Elephas maximus indicus: one gene and its partner. The protein of the gene in region 1 purifies or fractionates together with the protein of each later gene. This does not show direct contact. Links are inferred from orthologs where the notes say so. Each region holds a gene or a part of one and is shown on either strand. Other genes may lie near its edges.

Region 1 (8,119 bases):
CAAAGCTACTGGGTGAGGAAACTTGGTTCAGGCTGCACACCTGTCTGTTATAAGCATCAATACGACTGACTGCAGACCTTGCCACCAGAGAAGAAAGGCTGGGCTCCTCACCCCTTTGCCTTGCAGATCACATACCACAGCTCTCCCATCGCTGCCCCGGAAGGGCTCCAGGAGGTCTAGGAAGATTCACATCCCTAGCTGTAGGCTTTGGTCCCAGGGTTTCGGTTATCACTTCTGTCCTCTTTGAATCACAGCTGGCTTGGGTTACAGGCTGGGGTCCTGGAGGGTGAGTGGGGGCTCCCCCACAGCTGATGAGGATGAACTTGTTGGGCCCACTGCTGCCACTTTCTTTTCCTTTGGCGGTCAGTGCTGTGATGATGCTCTGGATATTGGCATTGTTGGGGATGGCCACCACTTGGGTGTTAGGCATGGTAGGGTGGTTAATAATCTTGATTCCAGCTGGAAACTTGCAAGAGCTAGACTCTGCCACCTCCTTGGAGGCCTGTGCTTGGCCAGGCTCCTGTTGGGCAGGGGACTGCTTAGGTTGCTCCTCTGATGTTTCACCTGGGGCATTTTGAACAGGAAGGGGCAGCCTCCGTCTTTTGAGAATCAGTGGCCGACGGGGGCTGGTTTTCATTATGAATCTGTGCTTTCACTCTCCATTGAGAATCACAAGCATGGACCCTGGAAAGTATAAGGAGGAGCAGGATATCAGAGATTTGTTAGGCTGAGAAGGAGCTTCTCTTAGAGAGGCATTCCTATTTTTATGGCCAGAAGTATGAGCCTAAGGGCCCAGGTAATGCTCCCTGACCTTTGTAGAGGCTTACCTCCAATACTAAGATGAAATCCACTGACTAAAGAAAGGTAAAACTGAAGCAAACAGAAGCAATTCAAAGGGGGAAAGTGGAACTGGATTGGATTTGGGTCAAGACAGCCAAAGACTTCCTGCTGGAAGCTTAAGAATGCTTGGCTACAGAAACAAGTGAGATAGCCACAAAATGTAGAAATTATAATACACATTACTTGCTATGACTGGAGGGACAGGGATGGGAGATGCTGGAATAGGAAGGCATATGGTGATATATAGTCCCAACAAAACTCTAATGCCATAATCCATTCTAGGATAGAGCCTTTATATTTTTATGTAATTCTACTCTGTAAAAAATAGGATCAGTGCCCACAGAATCAGGGGAGAGAGGCATATTGCACTATTGCCGTAGCACTGGAGAAATCATCTCCTAGTTCACAAGGGCTCAGATAAAAAGCTTGCAGGCAACCCTTGCTCTATTTAAGGGCCATGGTGAAGTTGTGCAGATTGTGCACTGCACAACTCTAGCGGGTGCCATTCATTTTACAGGCTACATTATCATTATCCTTGCATTAATAAGGGAACCCTGTGGCGTAGTGGTTAAGAGCTACAGATGCTAACCAAAAGGTCAGCAGTTTGAATTCACCAGGTGCTCCTTGGAAACTCTATGGGGCAGGGCAGTTCCACTCTGCTCTATAGGGTTGCTATGAGTTGGAAAAGACTCGATGGTAATGGGTTTGGTTTTTGGTTGCATTAATAAAAAGAGTATTTTTCTTTCAGTTTACAAAATACTTACGCAGTGACAGTATTAGTACTTGCATGTGCTTATCTTTATTTTAGATTTCTAAGCATGTTACTGTATTAATTTCTCTTCCAGAACAAAGAGGATAAACCTTATCTCCTGATTCCTAGAATGGACTATCACCAATATGCTAAGGGAGCTTTGTAATGCTGAGGAGGGTAGTTTTTCTCTTGGGGAGAAAAATTGTGCTTTGTTAATTTTTAATAGCTACATGAAATACTCTGCCAGTTTATGCAAAATTGTGTAATTCTATTTAGAGGTACTTTGAGAGACAGGGAAATTGGCTGTCTCTTTTAGGACATCTGCTATCTCCCGAAAAATGATTGACACATTTGTATGACATTTGCCATCTGCTTTTTTGGTGCCATCTGCTTAGAATTCACAGGCCTTTCCCACTTTGCCTCTTCCCCTTCCTATATATCTAGGTTTCCTTTACCTTCAAATCTCAGTTTTACTTCCACCTCATATCTCTCCTGGCCTCCTCCCCTCCTTCCTCCCATCAGCCAGTAGCTATTATCTTCCCCTTCCTCCAAAATATCTTCTTCCTGGTCTAAGTCTTAATTTTCTCTTCTACTCCCTGACAAGCCTCTTCCTAGTATTGCCAACAACACTTTCTAGCCTGACAAGCCTCTTCCTAGTATTGCCAACAACACTTTCTAGCCCGGTGACTTCCAGAGTAACCCCATCCTGACCAGGGAAACCTTGCTAGATTCTCAACAACCAGGAGAAGGGCCCTGTAAGAGTAGGGTGGAGGCAGTGTTGCCTAGTGGTGAGAGCGCCTGAGAGCAGGGGAGTGTGTGTGGGTTGATCTTTCACTTACTGGAGAATAAGCTCAGTCTTCAGTTCAGCCACGATTCACACTTGGTAGGCCACCTCAGCCCTCCTGATGCAGGGTACAGAGGTCACACTTCCAGTAAAAGCCAAGTGGTGCTTAGAGAAATAAGTGAGAAGGCCGAGACCAGAGGTTGGATGCAGAAAAAATTTGCACCCTTACTCAGACCTCCTTCCCCGTGTGGTCCCAAACCTCCACTCCTGTCCCGCACCCTATTGCTAGACTCCCTGACTTCCTCGCCCGGAGGACTTACGGAAGCGGTGCCAGAGACCTTGCTCCCTGCCTCTGCCCAGGCCCGGCCTCAGCCTCCATTCCTCTGCCCAGCTCACCTCCCGACTGCAGCCTCCGCCGCTGCTGGGGTGAGGCTCCTAGGGCGGACTCCGGGCTCCTCCAATCTGGGGGCCGAGCCAGGGTCCCGGATAGGGACTCGCGCCAGGCCGGCCAGGTCCCCGACGGTGCGGGAGGGGTGGGGAATCCCGGGGGATCCCGGGAGGGGAGGGGGTCCCGGGCCAGGGGCCGGGGGTGGGGTCCGGCACCGGAGCTTTCAGTTTGTTCCCCTGTTTGAAATTGGCGCCGGCGGAGCGTTGCGGTCACGTGACGGGGCGTCGCCAATCGGCGCCGGCCCTTGTCTCCGAGTTCCGGGCTCGAAGCCGTGGAGACCTGAGAGGAGACGCGGCCCTGACCCTGCCGGGCGGGTAAGAGAAGCCCGGGACCGGCCCGAAGGGAGAAGGCTCCTGTGGGCTCAGAGGGGGCGGTGGGAGCGGGAAGGAGCGAGAGGGGGGCCCTGCGGTTGGGGTGGGGGGAGCGGAGAGACTGTGAGGGGACGCGGGAAGATGGTGGTGACTGGGACACGGCCCCTCTCGGCCTGCTTCTGCCGCTTTCCCACCCTCCACGCTACCCCTCTCAGGATTTCCATACCCTCTTTAAAGGTCTGTTTTAACTGATATCCTAATGGGGGGAAATTGTAGTCCATTCACCTCCGATTACCGATCCTCTGGTACCCCCAACTAGACTGAGAGTTCTTCAAGGGTAGCACATAACCTTGTCCAAGTGTCTTGCATCTTAAAACACACAAATAAATTCTCCCTCAACTCTAAATCTTCAACTACTGACCTGTCTCCTGTTTGTCTCCACTGCCAGCCAAGCTTTTTGATATAATGGACTAAAGTGCTTTATTCACTTACTCAACAAATGTTTGCTGAGCACCTACTATGTGCCAGGCAGTGTGATAGGCCCTGGGAATACAATGGTAGACAGTTTTCTGTCTCATGGGCTTACCAGACTAACTGGGGAAAGGGGCTGGCATCACAAACATCATCAAATGTAGAATTATAGCTGTGAAGTGGTAGAGGTAAATGATACTTTGAGTATCTGTAATGAGGTCTTGAGTTATGTAGGTCAAGAAAGGGTTTTCTGATGAATTGAAGCTTGATGTGAGATCTGATGCCTTTGTGCAAAAAAGGGAGGGAAGCCCTCTAAGTAGAGGGAGAGAATGAAGTGTGCAAAGGCTGTGAGTGTGAAGGACACATGGTGAGTATGAAGTCGGAAAAATATCTGTAATCTAAGGAGTTCGTAGGATTGCTACGAGTTGGAATTGACTCAGTGGCAATGGGTTTGTTTGTTTGTTTAAGAAGTTCGAGCTAACAGACCTGAGTGAAGCGTGGTGTGAGATGAAGCTGGAGCAAGAGAAAGCAGAGCCTAGCCATACTGAGTTGTGTCCTTATCCAAAAACTCAAGAAAGCCAATCAAGTTTTAAGCATCAGTGAGTCATGGTCAAACTTCCATTTTTTAAATTGCACATTTTTAAGTGGATTAGGATAGACCAGTTAGGCTGTCGTGATACTCCATGGGAGAACTGGTTGGAGCTTGAAGAAGGGGGGAAGGGGTGAAGACAGGGGGAGAAAGAGACGATTATTGAAGACAAATTTAAGAGGTAAAATTGACAGGACTTGGTGCTGGGTTGGATGAAGGAGGCGGGGAGAGGGAAGTGGCAGGTTTCTGGCTGCATAACTGGATGAAGCATGTACTATTTGCTGAGACAGGGCCCTGGAGGTGGGAGGTGATGATGAGTTCAGTTTTAAACATGTTGAGTTTCAGGTACATTTGAGGCACCTAGTTGCTGTCAAGTAGACAATGGGTATATGGGTCCTGAGCTTAGAGAATTCTAAACTGAATGTGTACAGTAGGCAGAAATTAAAATATGAGCGAGTGAGATTGCACAAGAAAAGTGTATGAGTGAGAAGGGTGCCAAAGCATAGGTGGAGGGAAAGGCCTTAGACTGCAGAAGGGACTGACAGCACCTCTACAGCTGAGAGAAAGAGGATGGATGCAGCTATGCATAGGTTTGTGTGGTTGATTTCTAGAAAATGAGAGTATTTCCTTTGGTGGCTTCTGTATTCTTTGTGAAGTAGGACGTAAGGTCATCTGTTGAGAGAAGAGGAGTTCAGAAGTCTTAGCAAGTGGAAAAAACTTAAGATAATCTTTGTGGAGAGTTGATCAGGGAATCATAGTAGGATTGCTGGGCAAGGCAGTAGGCCCATTTGATGGTGAATTTCAGCAAGTCATTAATTTCAAACCTTTAACCTTGGCCATTGCTACCATTATCTCTGTCTCCATTGGACTCCTGCAGTAGCCTAACTGGACTCCCTGCTTCCTTTCTCCACCCCTCTCTTCCCAACCAGGCTTTCCTCGCAAAGTACCTGGAGTTATCTTTTGACACTCTGAATCAGCTTATGTCACTTCCTGTCCAGGGCCTTTCAGTGACTTCCTATCACACTAAGAATAAAATCTAATCCTAGCCTACAAAGCCCTGTGTCACATGAACTGGTTCCTGCCTTTCTACTACCTCATCTTTTAACTACTCTTGAGTTCAGTGACCCTGACCTTACTGTTTCTTGAACAGGTCAGAAATAGTCCCACTTCAGGGTCTTTGCATTTACTATTCTCTCAGAGTTCAGCATTCTTCATTCATATCTTTCCATTGCTTGCTTGTTCTTTTTTCATTCAGGACTTTGTTCAAATGCTACCTCTTCAGATAGGCCTTCCCTGACAACCTGATCTAAAATAGCACTCAGTCAGCTCAACCCCTTATCCTGTTTGATTTTTCTCCTACTGCTTATCACTTTCCACTGAAAAAATCAAACAGAATGAAGAGTTGAGTTAACTGATTGCTCTCAGATTTAAAGCACCATGTGGGCAGGGATTTTATACTGTTCTCTGGTATATATTTCCAGTACCTGGAACAGTGCCTGGCATATAGTAGGCATTCGTAAGTGTTTGTTGAATGAATGAATGAACAAATGGATGTGTTCATTATTTGTGCTCTCCCTGAAATGTTAGTTCCTTGAGGGTAGGTGGGGACTTTGTCCTTTTTTTCTCCTTCTTCCCCTGATTCTCTACTGCCTAGTGATATAAATCAGATCATGTTAATTTTCTGACTCATGAATGTATAGTGGAAACAATCTGCTCTGTTGTGTGACTTTTTATTACTTTCTGGTCCTGTTGGCCTTATCTGTCTCCAGCCTCCCACCTCTACTGACAGAGCTCAGGTTCATATCCTCATCACTTCTCTCCTGGATGACACAGTAACCTCCTAACTGATCCCCTTATCTCCAGAGTACTCTTCCTCTCTGTCAACTTGGTTAGGCCATGATTCCCAGTATTATGTGGTTGTCCTCCATTTTGTGATTATAATTTTATGTTGAGAGGATTAGGGTGAGATTTGTAACACCACCCTTACTCAGGTCACCTTCCTGATCCAAGGTAAAGGGAGTTTCCCTGGGGTGTGGCCTGCACCACCGTTTATCTCTCAAGAGATGAAAGGAAAGGGAAGCAAGCAGAGAGTTGGGGACCTCATACCACCAAGAAAGCAGCACCAGGAGCAGAGCACATCCATTGGATCTGGGATCCCTGCACCGGAGAAGCTCCTCGACCATGGGAAGATTGAAGACAAGGACCTTCTTCCAGAGCCCACAGAGAAAGAAAGAGAAAGCCTTTCCCTGGAGCTGATACCTTGAATTTGGACTGTTAGCCTACTATACTGTGAGGAAATAAATTTCTCTTTGTTAAAGCCATCCCCTTGTGGTATTTCTGTTATGGCAGTACTAGGTGACTAAGATACTCTCCTTTCATATTGTAGCCAGGATGATCTGTCTAAAAGACAAAAACAAACAAAAAACACAAATATGGCATTTTTAAGACAATTGAAAATTTGAAAACTGGCTATTTGATGATATTAAGGAATTTATATATATATTTTAATTACATTTATGGGAACGATAGGATGACTGGGAATATTGTATTTGCCTCAAAATAATGAAGGGGTGGAGAAAATGGATAGGAGTGTGGATGGGTCAGGACTGGTCATGCGTTGATGGATTTTGGAGCTGGCTGATGGTACGTGGGGGCTCATTATATTATTCAGTTTACTTTTGTGTATGTTTAAAACTATTTGGGGTAAAAAGTTAAATTAGAAAAAAAAAAGCCACATGTAATCATACCGTTCTGCTTGAAAATTTTCAATGACTTCTCAGGCTAAAGTCCAAGCTCATATAGCACAATTTATTTTTCTGATCTCTGACTCCATGTCTAGCTTCAATTCTTGCCATTCATCTCCTTATACCCTGTGTCCACCTATATTGATTTTGTGATTCCCTTAATTCACAATACCTCCTGTCCGTGTGCCCTTGTATACGCTGTTCCTCAGCAGGAGTGCCCTTCTTTGCTTCTTCTTTCCATGCCTAGGCCAGGTATCTCCCTCTCCTGGAGGCCTCCCCTGAAGAGAGTGGAAACATTCTTCTCATTTTGTACTGTAATTTTTGGTCTCCCCCACTAGACTCAGCTTCTTGAAGATAGCAACGATCAGACCCTTGTATCCTTATGAGTGGTCCGCACTGTCAAACCAATGGTTATTCATCTTTTAATTCTCACTACCCAGCATGGTGTTTAACACATGCTTAGTAAATGTTCACGGGATGAATGTTGTTGAATAGGAACTACTGTGTTTTTGCTTGGTGGGGTAGGTGTAGGAAGCTATGCTCCCCACAATCTTCAGGTGCGGGTAGTAGTTTATAGTAAAATTAGCTGGCAGAGCTGGGGCATCATCTGAGTTATTTTCCTCCCGGCTTTTGTTTCTTCTCTGCAGGCATTGGCTGGAATTGGAGTGTGTCCCAGTACCTGATTGCAGCCAGCATCATGTGGTTACTTACTGCTCTTCATTCACCTATTGATGCCGCCCAGAAAAAAACGCAGCCAGCATTCTCGGAAAGCCCCACTGCTATTCCACCAACAACCACTGGAGGGCCCCAAACACCACTGTGGATCTCCACAGCTTCCCATCAGTCACACTAGACAGGTGCCCAGCAAGCCCATTGACCACAACACCATCACATCCTGGGTAGGCCCCTGGTATCCTTACTTTGACTTTTACTCTCTTAGGCTTCTCACAATGCCGCCTCTTCTGGTCTTGAACAAGGGCTTCCAAAAAATAAGATTTATGGTAGATAGGGACAAAGAGGCCATACACTCTCTTTGTCCATCGTCAGACATCTTCTCTGGTACATCTCCTTTTCTCGTTTCAAATTGAGACATAAGTTGGTTGGAACTGAAGATGTTCCTTTCACATTCCTCTGAAAGAGTTCAGTATAAAAGTTTCACTACCCAGTAGCTGGGTGAGAAA
Region 2 (8,060 bases), on another chromosome or scaffold:
TGGTTAAGTGTTAGGCTACTGCCCCAAAGGTCGGCTGTTTTCACCCAATTAATTTGTACCATTCAAGGTCTTTTAGTAAATTCAGAGTGATGCAACCATCATGTAGTCAATTTTAGAACATCTTCATCACCCCACAAATTCTGTACCCCTTAACTGTCACTCCCCAATAAATAAATCTATTCCCCCCATGCACTTAAGAAGCCCATGCACTTGGCAACCATTAATTGACCTTCTTTCTCTATAGACCAGTTTTGTTTTTTGAAGCGCATAAAACTGAAAACCACATGTCTATAGAAATAAAATGAAAAATTAACTAGTAGCATTTTCTTCAAAGGAGTTTTATACCACAATTACATGACATGGTGGACTATCACATTAAAATACGTATGTTGACAGGAGAAGCCAGGCACAAAATAATATATACTACATATCGAACCCTCGGAAACCCTGGTGGCATAATGGTTAAGTGCTACGGCTGCTAACCAAGAGGTCGGCAGTTCAAATCTGCCAGGCACTCCTTGGAAACTCTACGGGGCAGTTCTACTCTGTCCTATAGGGTCACTATGAGTCAGAATTGACTGGACAGCAGAGGGTTTTTACATATCGAACCCAGTAACTGCTCCTCAGGAGAAAGATGTAGCAGTTGGCTTCTGTAAACTTTACAGTCTTAGAAACCTTAGGGGGCAGTTCTCTGTCCTAAGGGTCGCTACAAGCCAGAATTGACAGCACACAACAACTTTTACAGGAGATTGCCACTTCTTTCTCCCTTGAAGCTACTGGGCAGGTTCAAACTGCCAACCTTTGGGGTAGCAGCCGAGCACTTTAACTGTTGTGCCACCAGGGCTCCTCTACTGCAAAGTAGGAGGCAATACATCTACAAGACACTGTAACAGAATGACGCTGGCTTTAAAATGAACTGCCCCAGACTCATCACTTAGGGGACGCTAAGCTTCTGCTGAAAGTGTTCGAAAAATTTGGGAACGGATAATGGTGATGGTTAAACAACATGACGAATGTAATTAACGTCACTGAATTGTACCTAAAAAAATGTTGAAATGACAAATGTTTTCTTACATACATATTTTCCATAATTAAAAAAATACATACAGGACAAAAAAAGCCCAACTGCCCTCAGACTCCTCACTGACAGAAACATCTACTTCTAACAGAAGCTCAGCCAACGTGTCTTCAGGGAGAAAAGGGTGCCTGTGTGGACACTCTTCTGGTGTGTCAAGGCTCTGTTAAATGCGGACATCTCAGACAGCTGGGAGAACCTAGTGAGGTATATCCATCATCCACATAGTGCTGGCCATCTACTCCCCAGGCACTGTCATTATCCCCATTTAATAGGTGTGGAAACTGAGGCTCACAGGGTTCACTTTCCACGTCCACACAGCTAGGCCCAGGACCTCAACTCTGCACCTTTAAGTCCTCACCTTTAAGTCCTCACCTGTAAATCCCAGCTAAAAAAGCAGAGGCCAAGTTAATGGTGGCAACTGCTTTCCCTGCAACACACCCTTTCTTTTGCCCTTCAATGTGCTGGGCTCTGCTCCAGGGCCAGGGTGAGTCAGAGGCTGAGCAGGAACTGGGACACTGGGGCAGAGGAGAGTTACAGTGAGTGGCCAAGAAATAAGTTGAGGGTTTGGGGTTCCAGGGTACAGGCCCCATCCCTAACATGGGAGGGGTCCCTCCACTTAGCCCCAGGGGAGAACTGGTGGAAAACCTGGGGATCAGAGGACCTGGACATCATGTGGGGGCAGCCATCACTGGAGTAACACTTCCAAGGGACCTGAGCTGCCCTGGTAAACTGGCCTGAGGAAGACAGTCCCTGTGGCAGGACTACGGGCCCTGAGGACCAAACCTGAGCATACTTCTGCATTGAGAAGGACTCGGGAAAGCTGGCAGTTATGGAGTCACAGGTCTACATCTTCGGCCTGAGAAGGCAAACACCACCATCTGAAGAGGGGCCTGGGGTTATCTGGGCTGCTGGTATCCAGGGAGGGAAGAGGGCAGGACCCCACTGTTCTCCATGACTCCCAGAGCTCAGGCCCCAAATGAAGGGGCACTGGGGCCCACAGACTTGGCTCCAGGATCGACTCTGCCACTTAATTCTCTGGGGACTAAGTAAAATGGAGACCACAGCCCCTGACTTTGCCCCAGGGGCCAGTGGCACAGAGCAGTCTTGATACATACACCTCAGTCTCTCTTTCCCCCACCTTCAATTTCAGCTCCAAAACTCCTAGGGTAGAACACAAAGAGAGCTCTCCAAAACTAAACCAAGCTGGGGCACAGAGCCCAGGCTGGGGAGACAAAAGAGCCCCCTCCCCAGCACCCTTCTCAGACGGAGGGAGGGGGCTTAGAGGGCTTGAAGTGCTGTGCTTCCCCGAATGTTGGGGGAAAAGGCCCAAGGGGGAAGTCTGAACCAAAACTGAGGCTTGAACGACAAGTGTCTTTCAGGCTTTGGCCTCCTACTCGTCGTGAGTTGGGGAGACATTTTCCCTCCCCGGGGGGCACCTCCCTCCCCCTGTAAAGGCCCTTCCAGCTGACACCGGCCGTCCCACCCCCACACCGCAATTAGGCGGGAGACAAAATGACATCATGCAGGGCCTGGCCCGGGCCCCGGGAGACCCGCCCGCCCCGGCTCAGACACCGAGCAGGCCAGGGGAGCGGAGCGAGGGGTCCCAAGGGACCCATGGCTTTATGCGCGCGCCCCTGCCTCGGGCCGCCCAGGACACAGCATTTCCTGAGGAACCCCCCAGACGCCCCGCGCGAAGGGGCCACGGCGAGGTGGAGTGGAACGAGGTGTGGGTGGCGGTGGGGGTGGAAAGGGGGTAGGAAGGGCCCTCAGCCCACCCAGCTCCGCTCACCCGCGCGTCCGCCGAGACATCCCCCCAAGTCGCGCTGCGCCCGCCGGCTCGCCAGCTGAGCCCGGAGCCGGAGCCGCAGCCGGGCCGAGGCCGGGGCCAGGACACTAGCTGCTCCGGCCGCTCCGGGCCCCGGGCCGCGCTAGGTTCGGTCAGCGTGTCCTCAGGTTCCGCCGTCCGCGCGCTGGAGCTACGGCCGCGGCCGGCGCGCACAGAAGCACTTTCCTATCTCGCGCCAAGCGCGTCGGCGCCTCCCGGGCCTGGCGCGCGGGCGGGCAGACGTGCGCAGGGGCGGGGCCTGGGCGGGGCCTGTGTGGGGCCTGGGCGGGGCCAGCGGGGGCGGGGCTGGCGCTGCACAGGCCCAGAGGTTCCATGATGACAGGGGCCGCGGTGGCGACTTAGGAGATGGGACTTGTGAGCACCATATGACTGAGCGGGTTCAAGTCAAGTATTGGTCTGGGACGGCCCACACAGCAAGGACTGTCAAAAAGGAGTGAGGGGCAAGGATGGAAAAGTCAGGCTGGGAAAACCACCTGTGCAAAAACCCCAGGGCTAGTCGAAGCCTCGCTTCTCCGGGTCGCTACAGCCCCGCCCTAAAATGGCCCCCTTAATCCTACCTGTACCTTCCTGCTTTCTCTGCAGCCTCGAATTGGCGGCCCGAGTGACACTTCTGAAATACAAACTTCACTTAGTCTCTCCTGAACTTAAGACCCTTTCTTCTCTCCCTCGGGATAAATTCCTTCCTACACAATCAGGCTCATAGCCTCTGCCTGAATCATCACCCACCCCACCCCACCCCCGCTGAAAGAAGTTTCCTGCCTCCTTGCCTTTGCTTGCACTATTACCCCTCCCACCTAATTCTTACTTATCCTTGAAGTCGGCTGTCCATAACCAGCTGTTGACTTGTGCATTTCCTCCTTTAAACTTTGAGCATCTTGGAGTCCAAAAGGCCTCTGAATCCACCCCAGTATCCCTAGAGCCCAGACAAGGCCTAGCATAGGAGGTCCCAGGTATGTCTGTTGAGTTGAATTCTATTTACGAAGTGCTTAAACTCCGAGAGGCTTAGCAAGGATTTTCCATTTTAAGTTGACGCTTACCAAGAACCTACTTCTTATCATGCCCACGCTGGGCTTCCTGGGAGATGTGCTGAGATGAAGGTGAAACAACTATGAGGCAGGAGCTTGGGGAGACCTGGCTGAATCCCAGCCTCAGTCCCTACTTATGCCACAGATCCCACATCCAGAAACTGCTGGCCACCTGGGGACAGTCTAGCCAACCGATGCAAACTTCATTTACCACAGCAGAAGGATGTTAAGTACTAAAACCAAAAACCAAACCCGTTCCCGGCGAGTCGATTCCGATTCATAGCGACCCTATAGAACTGAGTAGAACTGCCCCTCAGAGTTTCCAAGGAGTACCTGGTGGACTCGAACTGATGACCTTTTGGGTAGCAGCCATAGCACTTAACCACTACGCCACCAGGGTTTCCAAACATATTAAGTACTAGAAGCTTTCATAGTACTTAATTCATAAAGTAATTTATTTGGGTATCCCCTCTTCATTGCTACACCGTAACATTTATGAGTGTAAGCTCTACAGCTAGACTGCCTAAGGTTTGAATCCCAGCTCCACTGCTTCTCGTTGTTAGGTGCCATTGAGTCAGCTCCGACTCATAGCGACCCCATGTACAACAGAAGGAAACACTGCCCAGGCCTGTGCCATCCTCCCAATTGTTGTTATGCTTGAGCCCACTGTTGCAGTCACTGTGTCAATCCATCTCATTGGGAGTCTTCCTCTTTTTTTGTAGGCCCTCTACCAGTTCCTGGAGCTCTACTACTTACTAGGTGTATTTACCAAATTACTTAACTCTTCTGTGCCTCTGTTTCCTCATCTATAAAAACAGGATTTATCAAAAAATTTAGATAGTTCTATAGGATGTACCACCTAGTGTTCTGTGTGCTTTGTAAATATTAACTCATTTAATCATTACAACTCTATGAGGTAAATATTAATATCGTCACCTTTTGGAATATGGGGAAACTGAGGCACAAACTTCCTGAAGGTCACACAGCTAGCAAATGGAAGAGCAGAGATTCAAACATAGGCTATGTAGCTCTAGAGTCTATGCTCTTAATCACTACACTGGTACCTACTTTGTAGGGTTATTACAGGATTAAATAAATGAATATGCATAAATCACTGAGAACAGTCCTTGACATATAATAAGTACTGTTACTTCTGGAAACCCTGGTGGCGTAGTGGCTAAGAGCCATAGCTGCTAACCAAAAGGTCAGTAGTTTGAACCCACCAGGTACTCCTTGGAAGCTGTATGGGACAGTTCTACTCTGTCCTATAGGGTCACTATGAGTCGGAATCCACTCAAAGGCAACTGGGTTTTTTTTGTTTGTTTGTGTTACTTCTGGAGCCCTGGTGGTGCAGTGGTTAAGGGCTACAGCTACTAACCAAAAGGTCAGCAGTTCAAATCTACCAGCCGTTCCTTGGAAGCCCTATAAGGCAGTTCTACTCTGTCCTATAGGGTCACTATTGACTTGGAATCAACTGGATGGTGGCGGTTTTGGTATGTTACTTCTGTTATTATTATTAATAGGATTTTTCAGCTACCCTCACACTTGTCCTTTGAGGTCCAGGAAGCCCTTTTGCACACAGCACACATTCTCACATGGACAGGGAGGGCCAGGACCTGACAGCTCCCACAAGGTATTTGCCCAAGGCAAGAGGCAGGGAGCAGTTGCAGAGTCAACCTGGAACAAGCAATTGGGGCCACTTGACTAGTACATAGGAGCTGAAGAGCCTGCAGTCAGTGCTGGGAGTCAGGCAGCAGAGAGATCACCTGATGCCAGATGGAATCTGGTGATCTCCACAAGTCTGTCCTCTCCAGTTATCATTGTACCAACAGACACTCCCTGGAGAGAGGACTCCCAGTGTTCTGGGTGCAGCCACACCTGGGAGTGGTGGCTGGGCCAGGGACTGATAACAGACTGCAGCTTTTCCTGGACAGTCCCTTATTGGACAGGGAGCCTTCAGCCATTTGATCTTTCCCCAGTGCCCCTGGAGGCTCAATCTGCCCCACCCTGGGCTCCAGACCCAGAGCTTGCCCATGTTGGGAAGTCAAGGATTAAATGTACTTTTAAATGCTCAGGCCCAGCACCAGGCAGTACACAAAATAAACACTGATTGATAACAAGTAAATGATAAGTGGTATCACATGGCCCTTCAGCCTGGGTTCATCCCCTCTCTACTACTAAGCATTCTCATCTTTGTCCACCCATCGCACTTCCTCCGCCCATAATTTTATTGCTGTTTTGAACAGGGGCAACACGCATTCGTATTTTTAGTTTCAGATCTTTACCATAATGCTTGGCCCCTGGCAGGTACTCAAGAAAGGAGTTTTACACATTTTCAAGAAAATGAATGAATGAAATGTTATCAAGCTAACATTTGGGCTGGAGAGTTGGGAAGACACAGGCCAGAACTGAGAGGATTTAGAATGGTAGAGTTTGAACTGTATCTTGTAAGATATGGGACATCAGGAGAGATTTTGAAACAAAGGCATGATTTTCAGGATACTTCTGAACCCCCTGTCTTAGGCTGGGTTCTCTAGAGAAGCAAACTAGTGAAGTATATATGTATGTATGTATGTATATACATATATGTAGAGAGAGAGAAAGAGAGATTTATCTCAAGGAAATGGCTTATGCAGTTGTAGAGGCTGGGAAGTCCCAAGTCCGTGGGTCAGGCGTCAGATTGGAAGCTTCTACGGACTCACGTAGCTGCAGGGGCTGAGGAACCCAAGATCAGCAGATCAGGTAGCAGACTGCTGGCTCAGGGGCTGCAGAGGCTGATGAATCCTAAGGTTGGCAGGCAATACAGCAGGCCACCGGCTCAAGTCCCAAGAACCAGAGGTCAGATGATGATGTGCCAGATGCAGGACCCAAAGTGAAGCAAAAGCCGGTGACCTTCTCCAGGATGCAGGCCACACCCCCAAAGAAACTTCCCTTACAACTCACTGGCTGATCACATCAGATCACATCAGGAAGATAATTACATTATATCACAAAATGGAGGATAACTACATCATTACATAACTGCCAAACCACTGAGAATCATGGTCTAGCCAGGTTGACACACAACCTTAACCATTACACCCTCCACCTTGGGGGATCAGTATAGTGGATGGACTCACAGAAGCCAAGTGGGCACTGGCATGAGAGGCCAAGGACCAGGACAGGAAATGTGGCACTTTGTACAAAAGAGTGGATTCCAAAGGAAGGAAAGCAATTCAATTACCTGATTCAAGGAATCAGAGCTCTAGGGAGAAAATGCCCCCATTTACTTCTGAAAAGATTGAGGTTTATGTGAATAACTATTTGCAAAGCACTTACATTTGAGTTTGAGAAAAGGACCAATAAAGTATTCAGGTCATAAAATAATACCTCATTTTACTGGGGGACACTCCATGAGTCTGCCAGTCACCACACTAAGAGGTTTACATCCATTTTGCATTTAATCTTCACCACAATGTGAGGCAGGTACCATTACCCATTAACCTGTTGCCGATGAGTCGATTCCAACTCATAGCAACTCTAAGGGACAGAGAGTAGAACTGCCCCATAGGGTTCCCAAGCAGCATCTCGTGGATTCGAACTGCCAACCTTTTAGTTAGCAGCTGTAGCTTTTAACCATTAGGCAACCAGGGTTTCCAAAACACTATTTTTTCATTTTTTCCCCATTTTAAAGAAAACTGAGGCATGATGATATTAAGTTGTGAGGATCACACAGCTAGTGGGCCGGTAGCTGAACACTTAAAACACTAAGCACCCACAATTGAAATGTAAACTTGGAGAATAGTTTGTAAAAATATGCTAAAATGGTTGAGGCTGGGCTGCAGCTGGGGGCTGAGCATACTGAGAAAATCCAACCGCCCATACTTTCCAGAAGTTCACCAGCTAGTAAAGGAGACAAGGTGTAAGCAGAAAATTAGCTCAATAAAGGTGAGGATAAACTGCAGGACCTATGGGTACCCACCCAAGGGGGGTCACTAAAGGTTCTTCAGAGCTGGATAACTTAGGAATTTGACAACCTGGAGAATGGCACTTCAGGGAGAAGGGACAAGGAAGATTAGGAAGTATTTAGGGACTGGGAAGAAGCTGAGGTCATTCTTGATGTTTCTTCTTA

The links.
Region 2: the proteins of FOXM1 (region 1) and MYBL2 purify together in Homo sapiens (affinity purification with western blotting; 3 studies listed by BioGRID and IntAct, with this or other methods). This does not show direct contact. The link is inferred for Elephas maximus indicus from reciprocal best matches to the Homo sapiens genes FOXM1 and MYBL2.

The regions. Positions count from the first base shown.
Region 1 is NC_064822.1:59,070,070-59,078,188, forward strand, and holds the start of FOXM1 (forkhead box protein M1), read right to left. Parts: upstream 3,005-8,119; 5' UTR 2,772-3,004; intron 2,570-2,771; exon of another isoform or gene 2,431-2,569; intron 685-2,430; 5' UTR 638-684; coding exon 136-637; intron 1-135. Other genes in the region: RHNO1 (RAD9, HUS1, RAD1-interacting nuclear orphan protein 1), read left to right, coding at 7,670-7,837. UniProt on the Homo sapiens protein: Transcription factor regulating the expression of cell cycle genes essential for DNA replication and mitosis. Plays a role in the control of cell proliferation. Also plays a role in DNA break repair, participating in the DNA damage checkpoint response.
Region 2 is NC_064843.1:25,661,352-25,669,411, forward strand, and holds the start of MYBL2 (myb-related protein B), read right to left. Parts: upstream 3,093-8,060; 5' UTR 2,888-3,092; coding exon 2,868-2,887; intron 1-2,867. UniProt on the Homo sapiens protein: Transcription factor involved in the regulation of cell survival, proliferation, and differentiation. Transactivates the expression of the CLU gene.